Linked DNA regions of Sus scrofa. The protein of the gene in region 6 interacts with the protein of the main gene of each other region in a biochemical or structural test. Links are inferred from orthologs where the notes say so. Each region holds a gene or a part of one and is shown on either strand. Other genes may lie near its edges.

What was found.
Region 1: the proteins of CUL3 (region 6) and DCUN1D4 form a complex in vitro, tested with the Homo sapiens proteins (2 studies listed by BioGRID, with this or other methods). The link is inferred for Sus scrofa from reciprocal best matches to the Homo sapiens genes CUL3 and DCUN1D4.
Region 2: the proteins of CUL3 (region 6) and PEF1 form a complex in vitro, tested with the Homo sapiens proteins (2 studies listed by BioGRID). The link is inferred for Sus scrofa from reciprocal best matches to the Homo sapiens genes CUL3 and PEF1.
Region 3: of the proteins of CUL3 (region 6) and COPS5, one has a biochemical effect on the other in vitro, tested with the Homo sapiens proteins (2 studies listed by BioGRID). The link is inferred for Sus scrofa from reciprocal best matches to the Homo sapiens genes CUL3 and COPS5.
Region 4: the proteins of CUL3 (region 6) and DCUN1D5 form a complex in vitro, tested with the Homo sapiens proteins (2 studies listed by BioGRID, with this or other methods). The link is inferred for Sus scrofa from reciprocal best matches to the Homo sapiens genes CUL3 and DCUN1D5.
Region 5: the proteins of CUL3 (region 6) and KCTD17 form a complex in vitro, tested with the Homo sapiens proteins (3 studies listed by BioGRID). The link is inferred for Sus scrofa from reciprocal best matches to the Homo sapiens genes CUL3 and KCTD17.
Region 7: the proteins of CUL3 (region 6) and DCUN1D3 form a complex in vitro, tested with the Homo sapiens proteins (3 studies listed by BioGRID, with this or other methods). The link is inferred for Sus scrofa from reciprocal best matches to the Homo sapiens genes CUL3 and DCUN1D3.

Annotation. Positions count from the first base shown.
Region 1 is NC_010450.4:38,981,260-38,985,484, reverse strand, and holds the start of DCUN1D4 (DCN1-like protein 4), read right to left. Parts: upstream 2,801-4,225; 5' UTR 2,651-2,800; coding exon 2,626-2,650; intron 2,257-2,625; exon of another isoform or gene 2,160-2,256; intron 1,072-2,159; exon of another isoform or gene 842-1,071; intron 1-841. UniProt on the Homo sapiens protein: Contributes to the neddylation of all cullins by transferring NEDD8 from N-terminally acetylated NEDD8-conjugating E2s enzyme to different cullin C-terminal domain-RBX complexes which are necessary for the activation of cullin-RING E3 ubiquitin ligases (CRLs).
Region 2 is NC_010448.4:88,153,328-88,156,827, forward strand, and holds part of PEF1 (peflin), read right to left. Parts: intron 2,270-3,500; coding exon 2,114-2,269; intron 1,642-2,113; coding exon 1,259-1,641; 3' UTR 1-1,258. UniProt on the Homo sapiens protein: Calcium-binding protein that acts as an adapter that bridges unrelated proteins or stabilizes weak protein-protein complexes in response to calcium.
Region 3 is NC_010446.5:67,739,248-67,743,327, reverse strand, and holds the start of COPS5 (COP9 signalosome complex subunit 5), read right to left. Parts: upstream 2,801-4,080; 5' UTR 2,732-2,800; coding exon 2,322-2,731; intron 150-2,321; coding exon 1-149. UniProt on the Homo sapiens protein: Probable protease subunit of the COP9 signalosome complex (CSN), a complex involved in various cellular and developmental processes.
Region 4 is NC_010451.4:33,697,646-33,701,145, forward strand, and holds part of DCUN1D5 (DCN1-like protein 5), read right to left. Parts: intron 2,317-3,500; coding exon 2,246-2,316; intron 1,834-2,245; coding exon 1,742-1,833; intron 1-1,741. UniProt on the Homo sapiens protein: Contributes to the neddylation of all cullins by transferring NEDD8 from N-terminally acetylated NEDD8-conjugating E2s enzyme to different cullin C-terminal domain-RBX complexes which is necessary for the activation of cullin-RING E3 ubiquitin ligases (CRLs).
Region 5 is NC_010447.5:10,716,167-10,720,268, forward strand, and holds the start of KCTD17 (BTB/POZ domain-containing protein KCTD17), read right to left. Parts: upstream 2,801-4,102; 5' UTR 2,770-2,800; coding exon 2,575-2,769; intron 1,110-2,574; coding exon 1,001-1,109; intron 1-1,000. UniProt on the Homo sapiens protein: Substrate-adapter for CUL3-RING ubiquitin ligase complexes which mediates the ubiquitination and subsequent proteasomal degradation of TCHP, a protein involved in ciliogenesis down-regulation.
Region 6 is NC_010457.5:126,217,649-126,221,148, forward strand, and holds part of CUL3 (cullin-3), read right to left. Parts: intron 1,651-3,500; coding exon 1,505-1,650; intron 533-1,504; coding exon 356-532; intron 1-355. UniProt on the Homo sapiens protein: Core component of multiple cullin-RING-based BCR (BTB-CUL3-RBX1) E3 ubiquitin-protein ligase complexes which mediate the ubiquitination and subsequent proteasomal degradation of target proteins.
Region 7 is NC_010445.4:25,150,272-25,154,300, reverse strand, and holds the start of DCUN1D3 (DCN1-like protein 3), read right to left. Parts: upstream 2,801-4,029; 5' UTR 2,613-2,800; intron 2,416-2,612; exon of another isoform or gene 2,289-2,415; intron 1-2,288. UniProt on the Homo sapiens protein: Contributes to the neddylation of all cullins by transferring NEDD8 from N-terminally acetylated NEDD8-conjugating E2s enzyme to different cullin C-terminal domain-RBX complexes and may play a role in the cell cycle progression by regulating the SCF ubiquitin E3 ligase complex, after UV damage.

The DNA.
Region 1 (4,225 bases), on a different chromosome or scaffold from region 6:
AAGAGTGTCCTGGATATTCCACCAAAAGCTTAAGTAAAATATAAGATAGATGTAAATCTTTTCCTGATAAAACCACACATTGCCCAATTTTTCAGCCATTATGAAAAGAATGATCATTCAATCAAGTACTCAAGTTCAGTATATTTGTAACCATACTAGATAGTTTCCAAATCTTTGGACTTCTTGGTAAAATTTTTATCATTAGGGTCATTATAATACTCTTCTAGTGACCATGCTACCAGTAGTTTCATACCTAATACATCACATAAAAATAGTCTTGTCATCTCTGAGCTAATCTGATGGCATCTGCTTATAGATTTTGGAGTCATGGCATACAAATGGTAAAGGGAACTGGCAAAGGATGCAATAATGTCTTGAGAGTCTACAGAGTGACAGGATTGGTTCTAATATCAAAGAACAAAAACACACGAAAACTTAAGGTCCTCCACTGAGTTTACCTTCCTCTAATCTCATCTGCTTCCCATGCTTCTTTGAAAACTGAGAACATCATATATTCCCTTCATTCATTTTCACATTTTCACGCTGGTTTAAATGAACGGTTTTAAGTCCACTCTCAATTCTATTAATCCACCTCCAACACTCATTTCAAGACCATCTTTTTTCAAAAAGTTCCCTTATCCTTCGGCAATGCAAACGGCTCAAGAACTACAAACACATAATTTAAACTACCTCCACAAGGTTTACACGGGTCTCCACTGCTTTCTCAGATTTATAAAAGACTGAACCTTTTAACCTAGTGTTTACATACATGAGATGCTACAAACACACACCATCCTTTTGACTGTGTTGCATCTTGCATGTTTTTCCATAACTTACGTACTAGATGGTTCAAGATAAGCATTTATTCTGCAAGTAAGGCCACCAAATGCAGGGGGAAATAACCAACTTGGGGTGTGAGGGGGGAATGTAGAGCCCAAGTGTGAAAGGGCTGAGCTTGGCTTGATTCTCCCCCACCCGCTGACACAGGGAGAAAGCCCCAGGGAACAGGAGCGCCTCCTCAGAGCGCGCTCGGATCCGCCGGGAATAAGGCACCAGTTAACAGAGCTGGAAGGCTCCGAGGGCCGAGCTGCATTCTGGGACTCGTTTCCACAGTTACCCACGTGCACCCAATCCAACCGCGGCCCGGACTACAAGTCCCAGAATTCTGCGGGACTGCCTTCCCCTTCACACCCGGCGACTGGAGCCAGACCCTAAAGGAAACCCCTAAAGCGCCCTCCCTCCACGCCTGGGAGAGGTCGCGCCCCTAGGGCGCTGCGCTGGGCCTGTGGTCCGACTCTCCTGACAAGGAACCGGGTCCCGGGGCACCAGCCTCCACACCTGACGACCAGAAATTAGACAACTGCGTCACAGACTGCCAAATCCACGGACCGCCAGGGACCCTACCACCACCACCCACATACCGCCCCTGGCCTTCAGGGTCCGACCCCTCCGGGTCCAGCCGCGGAAAGCCCGCAGCGCGCGCCTCTGCCCCGCCTCCCAGTTCCGCAGGCAGAGCCCGCGCCAGCGCTGACCTCGCTTCCCGCCGCTCCGGGGGAACCGCGGCCAGCGCACCTCCCCCGCCCCCTCCGCCCCGCCCCCTCCTCTCCTCGCATCCCGAAGCTTAGGGCTCCCCCTCAAGGTACCCTGCCCATAATCTGGGGGAGGATACACCTCCCCCAGTCACGGAGTCTCACATCTTCCCCTTCAGCCCCGCGCGGACCGAATCTGGACAAGATAGTCTTCTCCCTGCCCCGGCCCCTCCCAAGTAGCTCTTCACCCCCACTGCACCTCCGCTACCCCTGCCCCCATCCGGTCACCCCAAACCCTCCCCACCTCCTTCCTCTCTTACTCTCAATTACCCTATCTTCCCAACACCTGCTCCATCCTATTATCCCAACGTTTGCCCCCCTCTCACCACTCCCAATTACCCCTCCACGCTTCCTATGGCCCTCCCGCCCGCTGGACTCCCCAACTATCCCATCACACCCCAATCCCTCCCACCATCTCGCTTTCCCATTACATCAGCTCTCATTTGCTAGCCCGCCCTCTTGCCCCGCTCGGCCGCTGCCCCCAATCCCCCACCCCATTGTTTCCCCCCCCACCCCTGCCATCCAGCCCTTCTTCCCATTGTCCCCGCCCCGCGCTCCCCTAGCACTCACCCGCCTTTCTCACAGCCGCCCGCACCGCTCAGCTCCTAGGAAATCCTCACCCCTGCGCCCCGCTCTCTCGCTCGCTCCCTCCCCCTCTGCCCCCGCCGGTACCAACCCCCAGCCCTGCTCGCTAGCGCCCGCCGCCGCCTCCACCTCCATTCACCCCGGACACTCTGGTCCCGGCCCTTCATCGCACGTCCCGCCCCCCCTTCCCCCAACACTGTAATGGAGCCAGTCCCCACCCCCTCACCTCCGCCCTCCCCCGGCAGGCCGGCCCCTTCCCCCCACGCCTGCCCCCGCCCCGCGCCGCCCGCAGCGTCACCGCCCGCCCCGGCCCCGGGAGGGGAAGGGGTGGCTCCCGGGCAGGGGCTCCCGGCTGGTTTCGGGACAGGAGGCACGGGGCGGGGACTGCGGGAGACTAGCGGAGAGTGTTAGCAGCCGCCCGGCCCCGGCCGGCTCGCTCTCTGTTACTCACTGACAGCGGCGGCATCCGAGTGCATTTTCGGGCAGCTCACACCCCGCTCGCCGCCCCGGCTCCCGCGCTCGCCTCGCGGTCCCCCCACCGGCTCGCCGCACCTCGGCTAGGAGCTGAGGACCCGCCGCCAGGCACTCCCGGCCCGCCCACCTCGCCTCCTCCATAGGCTGAACATCAGCTGAGGGACCGCCCCTCCTCCGCTCTCATTTGACAAAAGGAGTGCGGAGAGCGCCGGTCTAGAGCTGGCAAAGAGGCCCCGCCCCCTGAGCTCCAATGCGATTGGTCCCGGCGCCTCGTCCCCGTAACGCCCCTGGTGGAGGCCATGCTCTGGAATAGCAGGTTGGACCCGGCCGCTGTCACTCAGCCCCGGGGGTCCGAAAGCGCGTGTAAAGGCGAGGCTGGGGAATTGGCCCACCTTGACCCTGAAGCCCCGCCCTGTGGCGGGTGGGATTGGTGGAGCCCAGACCAACCGAGAAAGATGGGTCCGCGTCTGAAACAAAGCACGCGAAGTGTTTTCCGAAGAACCGAGAAGGGGAAAAGCAGTTGGGGCAGCTTGTGTCCCGCTGCAAGGAGTAGGAGAGTCAGCTCTTCCCTTGCGCCCCACGCTACTCGTCGGGATCTCCTGTTTGTCGCGCACGCCTCGGAACGGCTTTCTGCAGGAGCTGAGTCCTCGCTGAACTTCGACTGAGACTTCTCTTGCTGTTTCCTACAGCTAGAACCTGGATAAAGAATCGACGCATCTTCATTTACAGCAAACCCTCTGGTGAGGAACAAATTCTTTCTTGTACAACAATCCATCCTCTCCCCTTTTTCGAAATGCACTTCTTTTCCAGAGTCAACACACTTCTTTCTTCATCACAGATGGGCTATTCTAAAGGCTTCGAATGCTTCATTGTCGGTGATACACTTACGCGCGCCCCAGAACTCAGGCAGGAAACCAAGGGCCACGCTTTGGGCTCAGTCTGGCAAGCGGCTGGTTCAGGGGCCAAGTCACTAGCCCTCAAAGGACAAATAAGCGTTAGCTAAGTGAGCCTAAGTCATTGACGCTAAGAAGCGGTCCGGAAAAGCAAAACTGGCTGTTATTTGGTGGAGGACGACGTTAATTTAGAAGACTTCTGACCATTGAATTTATTAAGTCAGGAATTCGCATCATTTTCATGAGTGCCGACCATTTTTTTTTAAGACTTTCAAACCCACTCGTCATACTCACCGTATTATTGTAGCAGAAAAATATTTTGAGATATTAATGGAGGACCTTTCCCTCCAACCCCAACCACAACACATACACCACTTCTCTGTGTGCCATCCCGCGGCCAGGGCATCCTACTCCTCCCGCCTCGGAGAATAGATGACACCACAAATAACTGATAACAAAACAGTCGTTTTGATTTTAGACTTATACAGCCAAGGCTTTTGAGTTCCAGGGTTCTGAAATTTCGGTTTCAGATCATAGCCTTAAATGTTGTGGGCAAAACAAGATATTTGAAAGAACAAGAACCAGTTTTTCCACCACACATCACTCCCTTTATAATGTGCTGCATCCCTTTTAATTCCTAATGTCTCATTAATACGTTATATCCCTATCATTTTATACCTGTCA
Region 2 (3,500 bases), on a different chromosome or scaffold from region 6:
GCTGTCCAAGACAGCAGGAGCACAGCGGGGGCTCTGCCTGGATGCTCCCCTTAGGTGGAAGGCCTCTATCCCTCTTTCTCAAAATCTCTATTACTGTCTGTTCAGTTAGGGGCCCAAGGGTCCCAGAATGACCCCAGTCTGTCCATGCTCATCTCTGACTTGTCTGTATTACAGACAGAAGCCTGAGTCCCCTCAGGCCCCGCTGCCCAGGGCAGGCACTAGAGGCATCTCAGGGAGATGACTCCTGTTCTGGAGTCAAGACAGCCCCTCGGCAAGCTGCTTATTAACCCTGCTTATCCTCATCATATCAGCTCTAAAACGGGGATAATAGTTATCTTGTAGGTTCTAGTAAGGATTAAAGGAAGCGATCATGCAAAGCACTTGGCCTAGCGCCTGGCACCTAAGAGGCACTCAGTTAAGTGTTATTTATTAAAAGTAATAAAATCATCATCATCTCCCCAGGCGAGGCTGCTCCCCCATCCCTCCACCTGGGTGCTTCCTTCTTCCTCTATCATCTACCAGCTCAGACTAAAATGTCAGCGCCCCTTCGCTCTTGCCCCTTGGGCAAGTTACCAGACTAAGCCTCAGTTGTCTCATCTGTAAAAGGGTAATAATAAGAGATCCTTCATCTAAGGGTGGGGAACAAGAATTAGTAGCTATCACAGAGGGAGAGCAAGTGATGTAACATCTCTCGTATGTAACAAGCACCTATGAAGAGTGCTTATTACAATGCCTGGCCACAGCAGGCATTCAATAAATAACAGCTTTCTCGTGATAATAATATCCCCTTAACCAATATCCATCACCACATCAGCACCTGACAACAGAGGGGGTCTCCCCCGCCTGACTTAGTCTGACCCAAATCTACCACCAGGGCAAGGGGCTGGGCTCTCTGGGAAGCCCTTTCTCCCTCTCATGTGGCAAAGCTCCCTGCCTGGTTCTCATCAGGTTCTCATCATCCACTAACTACCCATCCTCTAAAGTCAGAATTGGAACCAGACCTGGAGCTGTGGCCTCAGGTCATCTTATCCAACTGCAACTTTTAGAGTGGTCTGGGTCCCAGAGCTGGGAAGACACTGCCTTCTAGCAGAGCTGTAGCAACAGAAGCCATCTTTCTGAGCCCCTCTGCAGGGCTCTTCCATTCTGCACGTGAGGAGCTAGAGAGGAAAGAGCCACACAAGCCATACATACAGGTCTCAAAGTCCCCTGGGCCGAGTATCCATCCGCAAGGCTCCCTGCTGGCTGGGCCTGTCTCACCTCATGCTGCCTGGAATCCCATCACCAGAGTCCAGCTCTGATCCTGGAGCCAGGCGTTCCAGGCTCCCTGCCCAGCCAGGCCACAGAAGGGGTGGGGAGTGGGCCCGTGCTGAGGGCAGCACTCCCAGTGCAGTGGGATTATCTGGTAGTCAGAGCCAGAGAGAACCCCTTGCTCCATCTCAGGGAGTAGAGAGAAAGGTCCAGCTCTGCCTGTGCACCGAGGCCCTGCCAGGCCCTCACCTTGCTGCAGCTCTGTGTAGCTAATGGAGCCTGAGTGGTCCCGGTCATACTGCTGGAAGAGGTTCTTCCACTGCTGGATGAATTTCCACAGGGCCGAGAAGCCGTAGACGTCGATACGGCCTGTCTTGGTCTTGTCAAACAGGTCTTGGGGAGAAAGGAAAAAAGGCTTCAGGACTAAGGGCCAAGGGTCCTCAGGTACCACGGAGGCAGCCTTCTCCACAGGCTGGAGCAGGAGTCGCCACAGAATCACAGGCTGAGGCCCAGACGCCGCTCCCGACACCCGCCCCTCCCCCACATCGAGTACCACAGCAGCCCCTCCTCTGCCAGAACCACATCCCTCCCCCGGCTTGGCAGCTGACCCCTCCCTGCCATCTCCTACCAGGCCAGGGGGGCCCATCCTGCAGAACGAGAAACTGAGCTGGTCTACGACTCAGCAAGGTCTAGAACTTGAGAAAAGACCTAAGGAAAAGAGCTCTCGATCTAAGGGATCTCACCTTGAACCCAGCTTCCTGCCTGAAGGAAAGCATTCTCCTCAGAATGGCCTCCCACCCGCCTTCCATCAGACAGGAGGGGGCTCTGCCCCAGCTCGAGCCCTTGGGGAAAGGCTACGACTCACTTATCATCATGAGGCACGTCTCGTCGTTGAATGAGGACCAGTTGGAGTTGACCAGGGCCTGCTTCAGCTCCTTGATGGAGATGTAGCCACTGTGATCAGAGTCCACCGACTGGAACCAGGAGTAAGCCTCGGGGTCCACATTGGGAGGGGCTCCACCTGCAGGAAGGGGTGCCAACCAGGGCCATCAGACCCAAGTCTCAGGACCAATCTGCAGAGACGCTGGGAAGGGCCAGCCTTGGTGCCTCCCTGGAGACAAGCTTTCCTTACCCAGAGAGCCTCACAAATCTGCCTACCCCCCACCACCCCCGTCTTCCATCAAGACTACACCCTGACTCTAATGGAAGAGGACCTTCTGTGTAAACTCACGGGATCTGTGGTTGATTTCTCCTCCACGAAGCCTGAAGGAGCTCCAGTCACTTCTGTATTCGATTTTAAGTTTCTAAGGAATAGGGACTTGTCTGGCAGGTTAAGAATGCTCTGAAAGGGGGATTATCTCTTCCCCACAGACTAGGGACCCAAAACTATCTGCTGAGCACCTAACATGCACAGCCCAGAGGCAGGTACGAGAGTCCCAGCAGCAGGGAGCTCTCTGGCCTGGGTGCCAGGTCCAATGCATCTCTGACGGGCTCTGACTGGCACAGGGAGATGGCATGTTCTATCCCGAGCTGCCTGAGTGTGGGTGGCCATGGAGCCCCATCTCTCTTCCCTCCCTGTCACCTCTGATGCTCGTCCCCATCTCCAGACCTCTCGAGAACATCTCTGACACCTTCTCATCCCAGAGATCCAAAGAGCTACCCAAAGCTGGCAGCGCCACACACTGGTATCAACCCTACCCTGTTCCTACTGCTCCTGCCCCGATTCTGACACCCCTCATCTGGCTTATGAACAACCGCCGATTCCTAATCAAATCATCCTCAAAGCAACTCTCTAACACCGAGCATTTGCTGTTGAGTAATCTCAGTAAAATTCCACTCTTTTCTCACCAATTTCCCCCCACCTCAACTCAAAGCTCTTCAAAGGCTTCCCACTGCCTACAAAATAAAGTCCAGCATCCCTAAAGCAGCATTCTAGTCCCCCTGCAATGCGGTCTACCCCCGTCTACCTGTCACGCTGCCCCCACTGTGCTCCAGCCTAGATGCAGCAGGATGCTCGCTCCTACCCAGAACTGCACAGCCCCCCGCGGAGCCTTTACTCCCCGGGTTCTCTCCCTTCTCCCTCAGCTCTGTGCATCCACCCTTCAAAACCCAAATAAAATGCTCTTCCTTCCCTAAAGGCTTCCCTTGCCCTCCATCCTTTTGCAGGCCTCCTTCTTCTCTCCTTTGCACTCCGTCTCTTGAAGGCCCTGATCACCCCACAGCATACACATTTTTTCCTGCTCCCTCGAGGT
Region 3 (4,080 bases), on a different chromosome or scaffold from region 6:
AAGCAAAACTGTCCATAATGATCATGGTTTCACCATCCACCTTTCCCAGCATCAAGCCCATCACTTCCAAGTTGCCTCCTGATCTGGCATGCATCACCATTTTCAGCAGAGCCAATGCTGAGATTTTGCAGTACTTAAAGTAATGGTGACTACAAAACAAAAGCATGGTGTAATTAACTTTCTTACATAAAGTAGAATTTCAAGACAGTTTTTGTGGAGATTAACAAGCATTGAGGGAATTAACACTGATAGAATGGGGAGGAAGAGTGTAGAATGGAAAGAAGGAGGAAGTAGAAAAGGGAGATGGAAACACATCATAACCTTGCAAGGTATTTCCCACTGGGGAAAGGGAACACTATGAAATAGTGGGCATTTATTTTGGCCACACCCATAGTATGCAGATGTTTCTGGGCCAGGGATTGAACCCAAGGCACAGCAGTGACAATGCTGGATCCTTAATCTGCTGAGCCACCAGAGAACTTCTGAAAAAGTTTTTTAATATGCTATTCTTACATGACCACTTCAGTAGACTTTTTCTCCATTAATTTTGGTATCACCAAATCTTTTTAAATTTAGAGTTGATTTACAAGGTTGTGCCAAATTTTGGTTTCTGACTGGTTGGATGGATTTACCTCATTATTCTCAGGCCCTAACGTTTTGGCCTAACAGTTAAGAATGTGGGCTCTGGAGTTCCTATTGCAGCTCAGTGGTAACAAACTTGACTAATATCTATGAGGATGTGGGTTCGATTTTTGGCCTCGCCCAGTGGGTTAAGGATCTGGCATTGCCATGATGTACTACATATACTGTGGAATGATCACCACAGTAGGTGTGATCGAAGATGTGGCTCAGATCTGGTGTTGCTGAGGCTATGGTGTAGAATGGCAGCTGTAGCTCTGATTCCACCCCTAGCCCAGGAACTTCCGTATGCCATGGGTGTGCCCCCTCCAAAAAAATGTGGGCTCTGACATCCATCTGCCTACCTTTGCATCCTTGCACTACCATGTCCTAGCTGTGACCTTGAGACATTCACTTAATTCTGTGCCTGTTTCCTTATCTATAAATAGGGATATTTCACAGGGCTGTTGCTAGGAGGAAATGAAGTAAATGAAATAATGTATATAAGGTACTTAGCCTAGTGCCTGACACATACTAAAACTTTTTAAATGCTAGCTGTTGTTAGCATTATCAACCTATCTTTTACAGAACTCTCAAAGAAGTCTGTTGAGGGCTGTGGCTTCTTTCTGTGGTATCAGCCTCAAAATGGAAAATGTAGCCTTATCTTTAGTTCTGCTATGATCACTGTTTAAGTTTTTCATCTGTGGTTGTGACTAAACTACTGTTGAATAAAATTACATTTTGGTCTCACTGATGTGGCTCAAGACAGCTAGGTTGTATATAACTAGAGATACAATCACACAGCGAGGCTAATAGTTTCCAAATATTTAATAGGCTCTATCAACCTAAAATGCACAGCCTGCTATAGAAAGAGCAGGTGAGGCAAACCAACTCAGTGCTCAGTCCTTAGTAAGTACTCAATAAACATTGCTGAATCTGAATAATGACAATTAAAGCTTGCCTTGTGGGACAGATGAAGCATGGTTTTTGTTGTTGACCACCGCTTTCCCATCTATCTCTCTGTTAGAGACGGTGCTCTTTTAACTCTATCTCTAACAATATCTGCTCTCAGGAAAGGATAAATGCTGTGGGAAAGAATCCTCGATCTGTCATCACTCTCAGGGACACAGCTGTTTTGCTAAATGGCAAAGAACTCTATTGATTTAATTTGTAGCTTATGTGAACTTGCTAACATTTTGGGAGACTAAGTAGAACCTCGCGGTGTTTCTAAAATAATTACCAGCAATCGAAAAACAATTACAGATCTAAACGATGGCTTTTAATTAAAGACCGTTGGGCTGGCTCAATTTCTGAAGACAGCTACAGTCTCCAGTCTAAGATCTGCTGCAAGTCCCAACAAAGTGTATACCGACACAGGATTCAAGGCAGAGTGTGTAGCATACGTGACGGTATGGGTGTTGAGGAGTAAAAGCCCAAATCACCGCTTGCCGTTTTCCTTTTCCATTCTCCCGAGGCAAACGGGTTAAAGAGACAGAAAGGGGAGTCAAGCGAGCCCCAAAGGAGGGACTTACGCTCAACTTGCGCGGATAAAAAGGCAAAGCAAAAATTCTCAGACGCTTACTCTTCCTCTTCCCTGCACAAGAAAAGACAAGCCCAGTCCCCGCTTCAGCTCCCACCCCTACTGGGTCTCTTAAACTCCCGCCACCCTTCCCTCCCCAGCATTTCGCCAGGGACCTCCTCACTCCTTAGTCCAGGGTTTCGCCGCCAGGATTTCTTGCTGCTGTTTTTTGTCGTATTTGTAGATTTCATCGATACTCTGGGCTTCCTGCATGTTGTTGGCTAATTCCCACGTTTTCTGGGCCATACCACTCCCAGAAGCCGCCATCGCAGAGGATTCGGAGAAGTTGTTGCCCCTACAACCAAGACGCAACTTCAACCTCGCTAGGTTTCCGGGTGTGGGCTTCAGACCCACCCCACCGCAGGTGCAAACTGGTACTAGACTCTCGAGGCAGCCATGACACCTAGAACCGGAGGTGAAGTTGGTACCGACCATTCGAGGATGGCGGGGGTCCTTCCGGAACGCGACGGTGTAAACAGCAGTTACACAATAGTTAGAGACAGAGGAATCTCCTTGTGGATTAAATGAAGACATATTATCTTGGAAAATTATATGTGTGAATTAAGACAAAAACAGCGTTTATGTAAGGAATGGTATAGCCTTCCGCACCGGAAGAAGGGCATGTAACGTTATGCCAGAAAACGAATTGACCTTCCTTGTTCGTACTGCGCAGGCTCGGCCTCCGCCATATTAAAAATAGATCCTTAAACGGGGATGGGAGAAAGAATTGTTTTTATGTAGGTGCAGGTACTTTAAATGCAGTAAGTTTGTTGAAAGACTTAAAAAAAAAAAAGGATGTCTGGAAAAATTGAGATAAATAGTTCTGAATGCTGGCTTTGAGAGAATACATGACATCCTAGTTTACTTTCAGATGAATCACCGCACATGTGTAAAATCCTATGGGCTCGTGGTTGGGCACTAAGCTTCTCTTGGGCGTTCTCTAGCGATCATATGAAGCTGTGGAAACTCGTGGATGGCTACGGTCATGCCTTGGTGTGTTTGTAAAAATTAACATCTCTAGGCGCTATTAATGTCCCGAAAATGTCCAGTACCCAGTTGCTATAATAGTTTACAGTTTAATCTTCTGCATTGCTCTGTGGAACTAACTCTGCTCCGAGACTGAATTAATCTAGGGGGAGTATTGGTTGTCATCCAAGAGTTCAAACGGTATTTAATTATTTCATTATTTGCTTGTTTTAGTTATTCTCCCCCCCCCCCCGCATTAGATTCTAAGTTCCAAAACACAGGGACCAGGTGTGCTCCTTGTTGTATCCTCAATGTCTACCATAGATGTTCAATTTTTTTCCCCCTGGGGGAAAAGGGGAGGGGGGGCATCACAATTCACCTCTCCAGTTTCATCTTTCTTTAGTTACCCTGAAACTTTGCATAAGGTGGCTAGCATTGCCTGAAAAGCTCTCCCCTGACTTTTCGGACTGGGAGTTTAAACTTACATTTAAAAACACAGCTCAGAGCTCTCTGCCACGCAATCCTTCTTAACTTTTCTCTCTCCAGTAATCCTTCTGCCGTGTCTCTAAATGCCTGTAGGTGCTTGCATAACTGTTACAGTGCAAGGAAATAATGTATTTGTTTACCTGGAAGTTTTTCTTTTCACTCTCAGTTTCAGAGTGCAGGGCACTTGGTTCTGAGCTGTATCCTCCACTCCTAGAAAGCTGTGTGACATTTAGTTAAGACAACATTAGTATTATGGAATCCACAACTCCGCCTGTGGTTTTGACATTAAATTCCATTTGAAGAAAATTTATCTTTCAAGCCCTCGTACAAACTAACAAGATAAAGGTCACTTAGTTCCACTGTCCCGGGAATCTAGATATCTCTTTTCTAGTGGTAGCATATGGCCACTAAGTTTTGGGGTGTACTGCATA
Region 4 (3,500 bases), on a different chromosome or scaffold from region 6:
GGTTCCCAGGCTAGGGGTTGAATCGGAGCTGTAGCCACTGGCCTACACCAGAGCCACAGCAACGTGGGATCCGAGCCGCATCTGCAACCTACACCACAGCTCACGGCAACGCCGGATCGTAAACCCACTGAGCAAGGGCACGGACCGAACCCGCAACGTCATGGTTCCTAGTTGGATTCGTTAACCCACTGCGCCACGACGGGAACTCCTAAACTTTTTTTTAATAATGATTTTTATTTTTTCCATTATAGCTGGTTTACTTTTTTTTTTTTTTTTGTCTTTTAGGGCCACACCCGTGACATACAGAGGTATGGAGGTTCCCAGGCTAGGGACTGAATCAGAGCTGTAGCTGCCGGCCTACACCACAGTCACAGCAACACCAGATCCGAACTATATCTGCAACCTACACTACAGATCACAGCAACGCTGGATCCTTAACCCACTGAGCGAGGCCAGGGATCAAACCTGTGTCCTCATGGATGCTGGTCAGACTCATTTCCGCTGAGCCACAACAGGAACTCCACCATATGTAAACCTTTTTTTTAATGCATCTTTTTAAAAATTTTTTAATTATCGTTGATTTACAGTGTTGTCAATTTCTGCTGTACAGCAAAGTGACCCAGTTACACATTTACATACATTCTTTTTTTCACATTATCCTCCATCATGTTGCATCACAAGTGATTAGATACACGAACCATGTAAACTTTGATAAAAATTTTCTTCACCTGTTTTGAGTCTCAGACTCATCTCACCTATAAACAATGAAAATGAGAGGGGTGATCTTACGTCTTATTCTAGAAATTATGGTTCATATGAGTAAAGGTTTTTACACTGAACAAATATATATGTGTATATATATTTATACTATCTAAATGTCAATGCTGGTAAAAAGGAGAACTACAAAACATTAGACACTGAAAAATTCAAATCTAAATAGTTAAGTTCCATATGAACAAATACACTTAAAAAAAATATAACCAGGTATTTTGAAATCTAAGGACAGGCAAACAAGAAGTAAAGAACGGTTAAGTATATTAATAAAAGTATAATCACAACTTGAAAGGCCCCATTTTTGGCTCAAAAATACTATAAATTAATGCTTGCCCTAACTACTTTAGAATGTTGATTAATAACAATAATGCATGAACATCAGGAAATGACAAAATATAAAAATTACTAATTGACTCTGAAACTATGCACACTTTACACTGGAAAGCCAAAGTCAGATTATTTTTATAAAGAAGCAATTTTATAACTTGCTTTTGTTCTTTATGAGATTCATTTGGCAAAAAAGAAATGATAAAAGTGTCATGTAACCCTCTTCAAATTTCTTTTTTAAGGATAAAACTGAAGACAGAGAGGAGGCCCCAGAACTTAGGACTGCCCAAAGAACAAACTCTTCATGTAGTAGAATTCTATATTCTAAGAAGGAAGGCTCTTACCACTCAAACATCCTATAAGTAACTTGAATCATGAACTGCTAATTCACCCAACAAAACTTAATGAGTTTTAATAGGACCATACTTAGGTTCTTTCTTAGAGAATATGAAAAAAAGGGTAGCTATTCATTTTGCAAAGATCACAATATAAATTCTGTCAATCTCAAACTGACTGTTACAGATCAAACCAATTTGATTAATTTAAGGTGAAACCTTACTCCTGAAAATTACAAAACACAAAATATCAATTAGGATCTTCAAATAGGCCATCAAATTTGTTTTTTAAAAAAAATTCTTACTGTAATGAAGTCATCCCCTTTAACCATTCTTCCTTGGTAAAAAATCCCATGCTTTCAGCCTCCAATTTCCACGCTAAAACTAACATAATAATCTGGAAAGAACAGAACATAAAGGATAGGGGAAAAGTCAGCAATAGAGATAATCATGTCTATTTTTATAATGGAGAGCATTTTTATACAAACTATGTCCATCCTTCAACTTTATTACAGGGTACAATCTTTGAAATTATTAACTCTAAAGAAATTTAAATGGGCCAATTTCTTAAAAGCTAAACGTTCTAACAGTTTCTGAAAGTAGAATCTCTTAGTCTACTGCAAATGACATTTGTATCAAGAAAAAGCACACATGCCCAACTTAAACTGATTTTAAAAACCTAAATAAAAATCTACAATATTCATGAAGAAACAAAACTTTCTTATAAGATTAAAGTGTTCCAATTTTTATAAATTTATGAATATGCTATACCCCACTTGTATTCCATTCTACTTAGAAATAAAACATACATTTTCAGGTTCAACACCAATGTCTTCACAAAATTTTTCCATTCCTTCTGGCCCTACAACTTCATCAGGACCTTCAAAGACAAAAATAATTTATATATTTTATTGTTATAATTTAATATCAACATAAAACATAAGCCACTGTGTTAAAGGCATCTATGGATATACCATAACATTTTCTGCAAACAACCAAATTTGAATTTTGACATATCTTTAATAAAGCAAAATATCTATTACCAAATTTAAAAATTCTAAAATACTCTTTAAAAGCATATTACAAAATAGAATTAAGAAATAAAAAACAAAGTAACATTAATATGAATCACTAGGTTGTATAATAATTGAACCTATCCATTAAAAAAAAACATTTACTCAGAACCTCCTCTGAAGAAAATTTTTGGCAATGCATGAATATAAAGACGTATAAGAATGTTTGAGCTGCTTCTTTGACTAAAATGTGCCAGTACCAACCCATAATTCAAGACAGTAAGCAGAGGAGAATATCTGTTTCACACTAAAAGAAAAGGTCATTCATTAACCTTCTGAAATACCCAAACAAAATTTAATACTTTTAAGATACATTATGAAAATTATGACTTAAGGAAATGGCTACATAGAGAGTCCAAAATGAGATATTTTCCTTATTATCTGGTTCTAAAGCAGACAATAAAGCATGAGCATTATGTCACCTTAAATAAAAGTTTAACCCTTCCTTAGCTATGTCTTATCCTAGTCCAAAAATTGAGGAATTTTTCTTATTTTTTCCCAATTCTCATATTTTTTATGTTATCAGATTGCCCATGCAGTAATTACATCATTGCTAGGCCTCTTTTGTGACTCAGTAAGAATGAAACAAACTATGATATGGATGAATTTTGAAGGAATTGTGCTAAGTGAAAAATTCTGAGAGAGAAAGGCAAATACCATATAAGCTCACTTGTATAAAGAATCTACCAAAAAACAAACAAAACAAAAACCCAAATTCAAATATAGAGAACAGATTGCTGGTTGTCAGAGTCAGAGGTGGACAAAATGAGTGAAGATGGCGAAAAGGTACAAAGTTATAAAATAAATAAAGTTTATAAAATAATTATAAAATTAATTATTTTAATAAAATATTATAAAATAAAGAAGTCCTGGGATGTACTGTACAGCATGGTGACTACAGTTAATAATACTGTTTTACCTATTTCAAGGTAGCTAAGAGTAAATCTTAAAAGTTCTCCTCATAAGAAAACAAAATTTGTAACTATGTGTA
Region 5 (4,102 bases), on a different chromosome or scaffold from region 6:
CCACGTGGCCTCTAGATCACTGTGTCCCTCAGGGGTCAGGACGGAAAATCGGGGGCCCGGGTGGGGATGAGGTCTCTGTGCTAAACACCTAGAGGGTACAAGCCCCGGGACGCGTGACATTTATTGTCCCTAAGGTAAGTCACCGCCCTCACTTTACACACACAAGTGGAGACTCAGAAAGAAGGGACAGGTCTAAGCTGGCCTGGCTGGATCCGCAGACCCAGAGCCACACCCTCTGCCTTAAGGAAAAGTGTGCTTGGCACCCCCAGCTCTTGACCAGGGCTCTGCCAAGAAGCCATTCTCCCTGGCAAGGCTCCCCCACTGGGTGCTGGGCCCAAAAGTGGACATCTTCTGGGCCTCAGCCACCCAGGCCTGGGAGGGACTGAACCCTCGCTGGGGAGGGGACTCCCCACTTCCCCGCTGCCACCCACAGCTGGTACTGCGCTACAGAGGCTGCCAGTTTGGGGAAGAGGCCCCTGCTCCACCAGCTGCGGACTGTAAGCCCTCCCCAGTCATCTGAGATACGGGATCAGCCAGAGAAAGAGAGCCGTACTGCCTCCATGCCCACAGCCACCCTTGCTCACAGCTGGCTTCCTGGGAGGCCAGGCCATCCCCTCCCACAGGGGAGGCTGCCAGCCCCACTGGCTCCCACTATCTCTGTGGGGTTTTTTTCCTTTCTTTTTTGGCCATCCCATGGCATATGGAGTTCCTGGGCCACTGCCTCTGTGCTTGTCACCGCAACCCCCCCCCGCCCCCCGCCGCCACCAAGAGCACCCAATGGAAGCACGGCCAGTCACCTTGGCAGAGTCCCCAGGCCCAGCCCGGGCAGAGGTTTTAGGATTCGATCCTGTCAGGGATGAGAAGAGGCAGGAAATGTGGAAGAAAGGTGATGCCCCCTCCAGCTGGGAGAAATAACTTTGGAGCTCCATGGAAGGCCCTGGCAGGCCGCCCAGGACAGGGCTGGGGTGTGGGCCCCGGGCAGCCCCCTGGACCAACTCACCCTCCTCGGCCATGTCCTTGTCCAGCACCAGCTTGCCGTGCCGGAGGAAGTTCAGGATGGGCCCGAAGTAGGTGGGGTCTCGGTCGATGAGGTAGGCCCCAGTCTCATCCTGTGGGGGCGAGGGGCACAGGCGGTCAGAGGAGAAGAGCGAACCCCCGCTCCCTGTCTGACCCTGCACACCCCCTCCTCACTTCAGTCCCAGTAAAGGATCAGAGGGAGGGCAGGAAGAGGCAGAGGGTTTGCTCATCCCCAGAACAGAGGGGCAGGATGGAATTAAAAGGCTTCAGGGTCAGGAGTTTCCATGTGGCTCAGCGGGTTAAGAACCCAACTAGTATCCATGAGGATGCAGACTTGATCCCCCACCCCGCTCAGTGGGTTAAGGATCCAGTGTTACCCTGAGCTATGGTGTAGGTCACAGTTGTGGCTTGGATCCTGTGTTGCTGTGGCTGTGGTGTAGGCCAGCAGCTGCAGCGCCAATTCGATCCCTAGCCTGGGACCTTCCATATGCCGTGAGTGCGGCCCTAAAATGAAAAACAAGCAAACGAAAAAAGCCTTTGGGGTCAGACACACCTAGGTTCAAATCCTGCCTCTGCCTTTTCCTGGCTGTGTGACCTTGGGCCAGTGAATGGGCCTCTCTGAGCCTTACTCCTCTCCCCCATAATGAGGGGACATTGTGAGCATCCAGTAAGGTCTGAGTGGCATCCGACCCAGAGTAGGGCTCAGGGATTGTCCCTCTTAGAGGCTGTTTCCTGAAGCCAGCTCTAAGCTGTCTTCACTAGATCCCCGGTCATTCTGGGGATGTTTACAAGTTTCCAAAGGAACCGCTCTCTCATTGGATACCCTCAGCCTGCAGGGAGGCAGGGCGGGCATCAGCACAACTCTACAGAGAGAAAGCAGAGACATCATCAGGTGAGGGGACTCGCCCAAGGTCATAGCATCAGAGGGTCTGGAAATGGGATGGAGGGAGCCTTTGAGGTCATTGCCTGACCAGCCCCCTGGGGTTGCAGGCAGGAGGCTGAGCCTGGCGCAGGGAAGTATCTGACCCAGAGTCATGCAGGCAGTTTTAAAGCCGAGATGGGAACCCAGAAATGGTGCCCCAGGCCAGCGCTCCTCCCAGATGAAGCCCAGCTCAGAACACACCCTGGGGTTTCTCCACCCAGCTCCTGGCACACCAGGCCACCCACACCCCAAACGGCGGGGAGAAGTAGCCTTGCACTCCTTCTGTGGTGCAGGAGTCCGGTTTGGGCAGGAGAAAAGGCCCTAGGGGTCTGTCCCTCCCCCCAGTTCCAAAGCAGGGTGAGAGTCCCCATCCATCAGCCTCCGGGGTTGGGAGCCCTGGGCACAAAAGCTCCAAATGGCCGCAGCCTGGCGTTGTCCTGTTGCCACGGCAATGGCACATCCCTCACTCTCCGATCCACTTCCTTCTCCCGGGCTCCAGCCAGTTCTTCCCGCCTCCAGCTCTTGGAAATAAACCCGGCCGGGTTTCCAGCCCCGAGGGGGTGCCAGGCCGGAGAGCCAGATTCCAGCGAGCGAAGGATCCCCAGCCCGACAGCCGCCCACCCCGTGGGCCTCACCCGGTCGGACTGCAGCTCTTCCCCCTGGCACAGGCGGCTGAGGAAGGACTTCTGCTCCCTGCATAGCGTCTGCCGGGTGGTCAGGAACACCGTGCCCCCCACGTTGAGCCGCACCCACTTGCCCCAGCCGCCCGCCCCCGCCGGCGGCGCTGCCTCGCCGGCCTCCATCCTCATCGCTCTTCCCAGCGTCTGCATCCTCCCGGCGAGGCGGCTGGAGGCGGGCAGGTACCGCGCGCAGGGCATGCCGGGAGCTGTAGTTCGCACCGCCCCCCGCAGGTGGAGCCCCGGCTGAGGGTCCCCCGACCCCCGCGATCCTGCCTTCCCCAGTCCTGCCCTCCTTTACCCTTCCTGGAAGACCCGCAAGCGGGTGTCTCTTAAAGAAGTCCTTGGCCAAATTACTCTGGAGAAGGTCAAGTTGTTATTTTTCTGTCATTTTTTTAAAGTTGCGTTGAAGTCTAGTTGATTTACAATGTGAGAATTTCTGCTGTACAACAAAGTGATTCAGTTGGACATGCACACGTCTATTCTCTTTCGGACTCGTTTCCCACATAGATGATCACAGAACATTGGGTAGAGTTTTCTGTGCTGCACAGGTACGGGTTGGCCAGTCATTCATACCTCAGTGCGCATGTGCCAATCCCAACCCCCTCCCCCCCCCGACCATTCCAGCCCCACCCCCTCACCAGAAGTGACGGTCAAGTTCCAAGTCACTGGGAGAAGAGTGAGTGAGACCCCAAGCCAGCAATCGTCCTCTTTGGTCTCCCAGCATCATTTTCCTTTTGTCCAATATGGGTTATCAAACAGCTGACATGAGAAGAAGGGCCAAGGGCTGAAGGGAAGCTTTCCTCCTTAATTTCCTTTCCTTCTCATGGTTTCAGTCCTGGTCCTGGAGTAGGGGGAGGACCTGAGACTTTGCTCCATGATGCCAGTGTCACAATGCCAGTGTCACACCCACTGGCCCCGCACACTGGGCAGCCTGGCCCTGCACTGGGGGAAAGCTTATAACTCCTCCAGCTCTGCTTTCCCCTTGGCAGGGAAAGTGGCACTGCTACCAGACTCCTGCTCCTAGGAACTTGTGTTCTCTTAAGCACAAGTTCAAGTGTGAACTTGAGCAACTTCCCCCCTGAACTTCAGTTTTCCCTGAATAGAGAATTAGAATAGTTGCTACTGGGGAGTTCCTGTTGTGGCTCAGTGGGTTAAGAACCCCACACAGTATCCCTGAGGATGTGCATTCAATCCCTGGACTCGCTCAATGGGTTAAGGATCCCACGTTGCCACATTTGTGGTGCAGGACACAGATGTGGCTTGGATCCAGCATTGCTGTGGCTGTGGTATAGGCCAGCAGCTGCAGTTCCGATTCGACCCTTAGCCCAGGAACTTCCATATGTCGAGGGCCTAAAAAGCCAAAAAAAAAAAAAAAAAAAAAAAAAAAGAGAGAAAGAAAGAAAGAAAAGAAAAGAAAAAGAGGAGTTCCCATCATGGCTCAGTGGTTAATGAATCCGACTAGGAACCACGAGGTTGCAAGTTC
Region 6 (3,500 bases):
AAGGATTGTCTGATACACACCACCAGAACCAGATGACGGCAAGCAAGATTCTAGGTGCCACGGACAGTTGTTTTCTAGTTCCTTATTATCTCTAGCATATCTAACTTCAGCTTCTGCAGATATGGCTGTGTAGTTGGTTTTGATGCCAATTACACATTAAGTGAAATGTCAAAGTACCTTTGAGCATTTCAAAAACTTGAAGCAATCCTTTCAAATATCACAGTGCATATTTAAGCATAGCAAAGAATTATGTTTAATTTTATAGCTACGGTATTTCAAAGTTTTCAATTTTACTTCCTAATTTTATATATATACAAATACAATTTAATGTATTTTCAAATGCATTAATACTTACCCCTTTGACTCCCTTTTTCAGCTTATCATCAATAAATAATGAGAGGTATTCAGGGGACCTAGAGTTGAGGTTGAGAAAATACTCAAAGTCACCCGCGATAGTTTGTTTAAAGAGCCGGTCGTTATTGAACGATTCCTGGAGGAAGCGATCAAACCTACTCTTCAGATCCAATAAGCCCTTCCAAATAAAAATAAAGAAATTTAGGATACATTATAATATTTTTTCTATAAACAATACACTACACGTGTAACTAGAAGTTTATCTTCAACTTTGCTGCTGATAAATACGTGCATTAAGTGCTAAACTTACAGATTCTATACTGTTAATTTTTTCCCCCTCCCTCTCTGCTTTTTAGGGCTGCACCCGAGGAACATGGAAGTTCACAGGCTAGCGGTCGAATCAGAGCTACAGTTGCTGGCCTACACCACAGCCACAGCTACGCGGGATCCGAGCCGCACGTGCGATCTACATCACGAGCTCACTGCAGCACCAGATCCCTGACCAACTGAGCGACTTGCCAGGATCAAACCCACATCCTCATGGATACTAGCTGGATTCGTTTCCACTGCACCATGACAGGAACTCCCTCTATATCGTTATTTTCAAGCCTGCATTTAAAATGTCAGTGGTAAGAGAAGTATTCTAACTTCCATTTAAAGAGGAACCAAAGATCCTTCTCACTGTTTCTCCCCACCTTCCACTACCTTGACTGAATGGGCGAGTCTAACAAAACTAGTTTTAAAAACACACAAAGAAACCTGATTATTCATATTAAAACATGAAAAACAGAATTGGTTGAAAACAAAGTATGCTGAAACAAAAAGTACTTCACTAAAACAGTTAATTTTTGTTCTAACACACTAAGGTACATGAAGAACACTAAAAGCATACAAAAAAGAAGAACTTTCATTCTTGAGACTATTTAAAGGTCTTCATCAGACAAGCTAATAAAAGAAAAGACATCAGCTGAATTTGGCTCCCTAAATGTACATGCTTTACGAAATTCTAAAACATTTAGGATAGTTACACATGTTAATTCGCCATGGAACAATAAAGCCAGAACTATGTACTACATAGCTCTTACAAGGGACCTTTTAAACACTTGCCAAAACTACTTTATGATCAAGAGCATCTTCTATACTTACTTACCTGGATATAGTCAACGGGATTCTTTCCTTCTCCTTCTTCAGAAACAAGGGCTTTACCTTGTTCCCTCAAATAGGAACTCATACACTCACACATCGTTTTCAAACCATTTGGCACGCGACTAAATAACTTGTACATGCAAGCAAGGTCTGCAATCAGAGCAAACACATAAATTTGACTATATTAAAGATTAAGAAAAAAATTCACATCTCTGTTCATGCTGATCTGTGACGCTTAAAAGATATTTCTAAAAACAAACAAAAAAATTCTCCATTACAACCATTTGCTGACCACATAGAAAATTACTAAAAAATCTCTTAGGCAGAATTTTAAAAAAAGAAAAAAAAAAATCTAGTTAATGGTTATTATTGCAACTTATAAAAAATAAAGCTTAAATATATTTCAAAGGCATCAATAAAACACTGCAACAAATTTTAGTTTACATGAAGAGAAGATGTCCAAACAGCGTAATAAACAAAATCACAAAAAAACGAAAACTGTGAAGTTTTCAGTTTCTACATAATTCTATACAATTCTAATCTAGAATCTACTAATATTACAAAACAACTATCAAAATGATAACCTTAATTGTGGTGTAACTGGTAGTCAATGTAATAAGGAAATTTAAACAGACATTTTCAGCATGTCTATCTCATAAGTTCAAATGACAACAAACAAAATTAAATACGCTAGGATTTATTTCATTACCTATCATGGTAAAATTCATGTGTACTTATAGCACAAATTCCTATTCTTTACTGTTTTCCTCAGAGTAATCCCTAATATTTCCCAGGTGATGACCTAAGCCAATATCTGTATTTTAAAAATTTGGTTTACCTCATTACATTGTTTTAGAATGAAAACTCTGGACTCTGGCCACTTTTTGCAAGATTAAAATGTGGTGTTAAGATACTGCTTTTCAGTATGTCTAGTGTTTCTTTGAAATAAGAAGTTACTGGGAGACTATAGCGTCAAAACTTTACAATGATATATTTTAAACTTGTGATCCCTACGGTCTCTGCTGCAACCAATTTTGCCATCGTGGCCAGAAAGAAGTCTCAAATACATAAATGAATGGGCATGGCTGTGCTCCAATAAAACTTGGTTTACTGGCACTGAAATCTAAAATTTATATAATTTTCATGTGCAATGAAATACTGCTCTTTTGATTTTTTTTTTTTTAAACCAAACTGGTGGTAGGTCAGATTTGGCAGACAAGCTATAATTTACCTATGCTAGTCTATATTTATAAGAGCAATTTAAATCCTAAAACTAAAGTTGCATGTATTTTAAAAATACTTGGATCCAAGTTTTACAAAAAGGGCTTCAGAATTTGTTTCAGTGACTTTTAAAGGAATATTTTATTTAAAAATGTTTTCAATAATATATGTTCAAAATAATCTGCGTACTACAAATCTTTTTTTTTTTTTTTTTTTTTTTTTTTTTTAAAGCTGTAAGCAAGGACTTTATTTATGGTCTCCAGTCAACCGCTGTGCTTCTTTTTTTTTTTTTTTTTGTCTTTTGTCTTTTTGTTGTTGTTGTTATTGTTGCTATTTCTTGGGCCGCTCCCGCGGCATATGGAGGTTCCCAGGCTAGGGGTCGAATCGGAGCTGTAGCCACCGGCCTACGCCAGAGCCACAGCAACGCGGGATCCGAGCCGCGTCTGCAACCTACACCACAGCTCACGGCAACGCCGGATCCTTAACCCACTGAGCAAGGGCAGGGACCGAACCCGCAACCTCATGGTTCTTAGTCGGATTCGTTAACCACTGCGCCACGACGGGAACTCCTTTTTTTTAAACTTTTTTTTTTTTTTTTTTTTGGTTGTCTTTTTTGCCATTTCTTTGGGCCGCTCCCATGGCATATGGAGGTTCCCAGGCTAGGGGTTGAATCAGAACTGTAGCCACTGGCCTACGCCAGAGCCACGGCAACGTGGGATCCGAGCCACGTCTGCAACCTACACCACAGCTCATGGCAACGCTGGATGGTTAACCCACTG
Region 7 (4,029 bases), on a different chromosome or scaffold from region 6:
ACCACAGCCACAGCAATGCCAGATCCAAGCCGCATCAGCAACCTACACCACAGCTCATGGCAAGGCCAGATCCTTAACCCACTGAGCAAGGCCAGCGATGGAACCTGTGTCCTCATGGATGCTAGTCAGATTCATTTCCACTGAGCCATGACAGGAACTTCATCTCACTGATTTTTTAACACATGGCTTGAGATCCATCTGCCAAAAAAGTTCCAGATGACCACTGCCTCCTCCTCTCCCACTCTCAGCAGGGTGACTTTTTTTTTTTTTTAAATATAATAGGCCAAGTATACCCTCAAAGTAGTATGTGGTAAGACTCTAGGAAAGGCAACAGAATTAAAACGGAGCATCATTTTACAATTCCTTCTCCTTCTTACTCTTATTTTGCCTACCTATTTATGAGCCTATTTCCACCTCTCTGACCTAGAATCTTTTCACTCTCCTCTCTCCCCTAACCCATCTTCCCTCATCTCCTTTCCGCCTACCTCTTTTTTCCTCCCTGAAACTTGCCAAACTCACTCCAGACAGTTTCTGCACTAGCTACTCCTTGAACTTGGAAGGCTCCTCCCCTATCTCTGCATAATGGGCTCCTTTTCATTCGAAGCTCAGCTTAAGCGTCACCTCCTCCGAAAGGTCTCCGACTATATCTCAATCAGACACTTTCTATCACATCACTCTTGTTTCCTTCAGCACTTATCAAAATCTCATTTGCTTATTTATCTGTCCCCACACCACCTCCACTCTAACCTAAGCTCCAGGGCAGCGTGGACCTTACTGCTGTGTTCACCTTCACAGACCCATTGCCTGAAATAATAGCTAGCAATTAGTAGCCAGTCAAGAAAAGTTTGTTGATTGAATGAATTTTGGAGTTTTTAGTCAATGATTCCAATTCAGCTAAAATGAGAAAAGTAGTCATTTTTTTCTTCTGTTACATTTCTGTGAAACATCTAAACATGCCATTACTTGTACAATCAAAGCATTAAATATTCTGTTTTATCAGGCTTGAAAGCCCCGATGAGTAGAATGGAACCCATGTTATGATAATTTGTCTAGCAATAAGCATATAAATTCAGTTGCAGAGGAACAGGATTTATGGACTTTTTCTAATCAAATGATCCCTAAAATTTGGGCACCAACTCTTCAAGTTCTTCAGAAAACACAGCTCCAGATTCAACAAAGAATTTATTTCCAAATTTATAATCCAAAAAAGATTTCCAAAGAAAATATCAACACCAAAATAGGAATCATCACACTTCACTCTGAAATCCCTACAAAAGGCTAAAGTAGCACTACATTTTTTTCCCCCTTAAACCAACAGAATATCAACGGAGATCTTCTTCTTCAATCATTCTTTGCAATTTTCAAATGATTTTTTTACATCCCTTATTGGTTTACCTTCTTCCTTAAAACAAAACTAAACAAGTCACAATGTCTTATTTAACGCCACTTATATACAAACATTCAGCTAAATAAATAAGATGGAAATCAGTACAAGCCAAATGTGTCATCGAAGACTTGTGTGCCAGACACACAAGTGGAGAGAAAGATAAAAGAGCTATTGTCAAATTGTAGAAACAAAAAAGTACATGGGGTTTTCTCTTCTCCAAAGTGCATTATGAAGTGTGGGTGGAGAAAAACACAGAAATCCAGAATTAGCCTAAGATCAAAACATTCTGGAAAGAGTTGACAACATTTAAATTCCTCACATATAAAGTATTCAGAGGAAGAGACCTTGATTCCTGGACTATGATGCCATTCAGGAATCCCTGCAAGGCTTTGGAATTCCAGTATTCTTAGGAGAAAATGCTTATCTTAATCGGGAGCGACCGGGCATTGAGAAGTACTCCCAAAGAGACACAGCTTGTAACTGAAGTATTACAAAGCTTGAAGTTAAGATCTGGGATAGAAGCAGAACACCAAATTCAAAAGAAGGTACCAAGACGAAAGGGAAAAAGAAAAAGAAAAAAACACGATTACTACTTAGCCACGGAGAATTAAAGTGGAAAGGAGGGGTATGCATGGGGGAGGATGGGGGTGGGGGAGAATAGAAAAAAACAATACATTTGTCACCCTGTCCCACTTCCTATACAGGATACAGGCAAAGCTTCCAGCCCCATTACCTCAGGCACAGATGGTTATCGTTTACAGCAAAGGTGCATAGGAAGGCCTCCAGGTCTGAGCCCCTTAATTCCAGGGCTGTTAATGATTAAAGAGAAGGATGGGGGTGGGGAGGGAAATGAGGGCGGAGGAGCTGGAGATTCACCCACCACCTCCTGCTTGGGCTCCTACCTCACTGCACTTACCAGGGGCAGAAGACTAGAGTTTGCACTCCCTCCAGGGCAGCTCCGGCCCCCAGAGCCCCAGGCCTTGGGTGGCGGGTGGGGGGTGCCGGCGGTGGAGGGGCAGAGACAGTAGGTAAGTTTTCTGAGCCTGGGGCTGACACGCCACAGGGCCCCCTCACAGCGTCTTCCTCCAGCGGGACCAGTCCAGACAAGGCGCCGATTTCCACTCCTCCCCTTCTACCCCCCTTTCTCGAAGGTACCCAAACCCCCGCCCCTTCATCTCCCAAAGCCTCCCCTTTTCCTCATACACCCCCCAACCCCCAAACTCACAGCTGCTCCAGAGGTTCCTCCAGTCAAACCCTTTCTGGAAACGACGGCGGCCCGGCAGGTCCAAACCACCTACCATCCCCGCTCGCGTCTTCAAGCACCCTACCCCCACCGCCGCCGCCGCCTCTTCTTCCACCACTGCCGCCGCCTCCTCTTCATCTGCGGCCCACCGGCGGCGGCCGCCCCGAAACCCCGCCCCCTCCATCGCCTCCTGCATCATCACTTCCGGTAACCCCGCGGGCCGCCCGCTCCGGGAGGCGGAATAGGAGAAGGGCGGGGAGGGAACGAGGGGCAGGTTGCGTCACGACGTACGCAAAGACGTACGAAGCCGTCGCCAAGTAAGGGCAAAGACCTAGCGACGCGGAGGGAGGGCTAGGAGGAGATGGACTGGCCCATTTTCGGGGGGGGGGCTGGAATCCGGGGGAGAGGAGAGCGGAAGGGGGAAAGGAAAAATAAGAAAAGGTTGAACTTGGCTATAATTGTTGCGAATACGGTGGAGGGTGGTCTAGAGTGTGACGTTTAAGGAAGGCTCTAGCCTACCCCCGACCTGGTACGAATGCTCCCACGGAGGTTCGTCTGGTGGTTTGGTCTGGCCTGGCCTACCGGACCTGCTTAAGCTCTGTCGACCACGGCTCAGCTGGGCTCCCGGCGCCGCCTCCTCCCAGTCTGCCGTAGGCTGCGGCGCTTCTGTGGGTGGGGGAAGGCTGGACTGACGCAGAGTGAGTGTAGAGAATGGAGACGCTGACTCCTGGCGCGGGAGACTGGGGGAAGGGGTTGGCTCCCAAGGGGCAGGGATGGGTGAGGGTGGGGGGTGCGACGTTGCTAGGAGACGAGCCTGTGTGACCCCAGCCTCGCGAGGGCGGCTCGGTGTCCCCGCTGCTGGCGTGGGGAACCTGCCAAGGGAAGTGGCTCCAGGGCCAGGAAGGGGAAGCCTGGTTTGGGAATGCTGAAAATGCTGGTTTGGGGACCATCTGGGATGTCTGAAACCTTTGGATTCCCGAATGTCAATGGGAGATTAGTAGGGGCAAATTAGTAGGGCGAGGGAGGAAGGTTGACAGGACACCGATACTTTCTAAGATAATGAGAACTAGCTTCTTAGTGCAAAAGGCGTTGGTCTGTGATTCGAGTCTGGGAGAAAGTTAAAAAGTAAATCAATAAAAAATATCAGCAAGTGAGGAATGCCCCAAAGATAGTAATATCAGATGAAGTGGTAGAAGATGGGGTGAGGGCCACTTTAAATCCATAAAGCTACTCAGAGGAGGCTGAGTTTTGCAGAAATCCGAGAAAAGAAGGAAGGTAGGGAATGAGCTTTCTAGGTGGTGAAAAGAGCCAATGGGCAGGGATCTGAGGAAAGAAGGGAAGAAGGCCAGGTGCTTGGAGTAGGAAGGAATAAAAGCAAGAGCCAGGCAGAGTGGTCTGT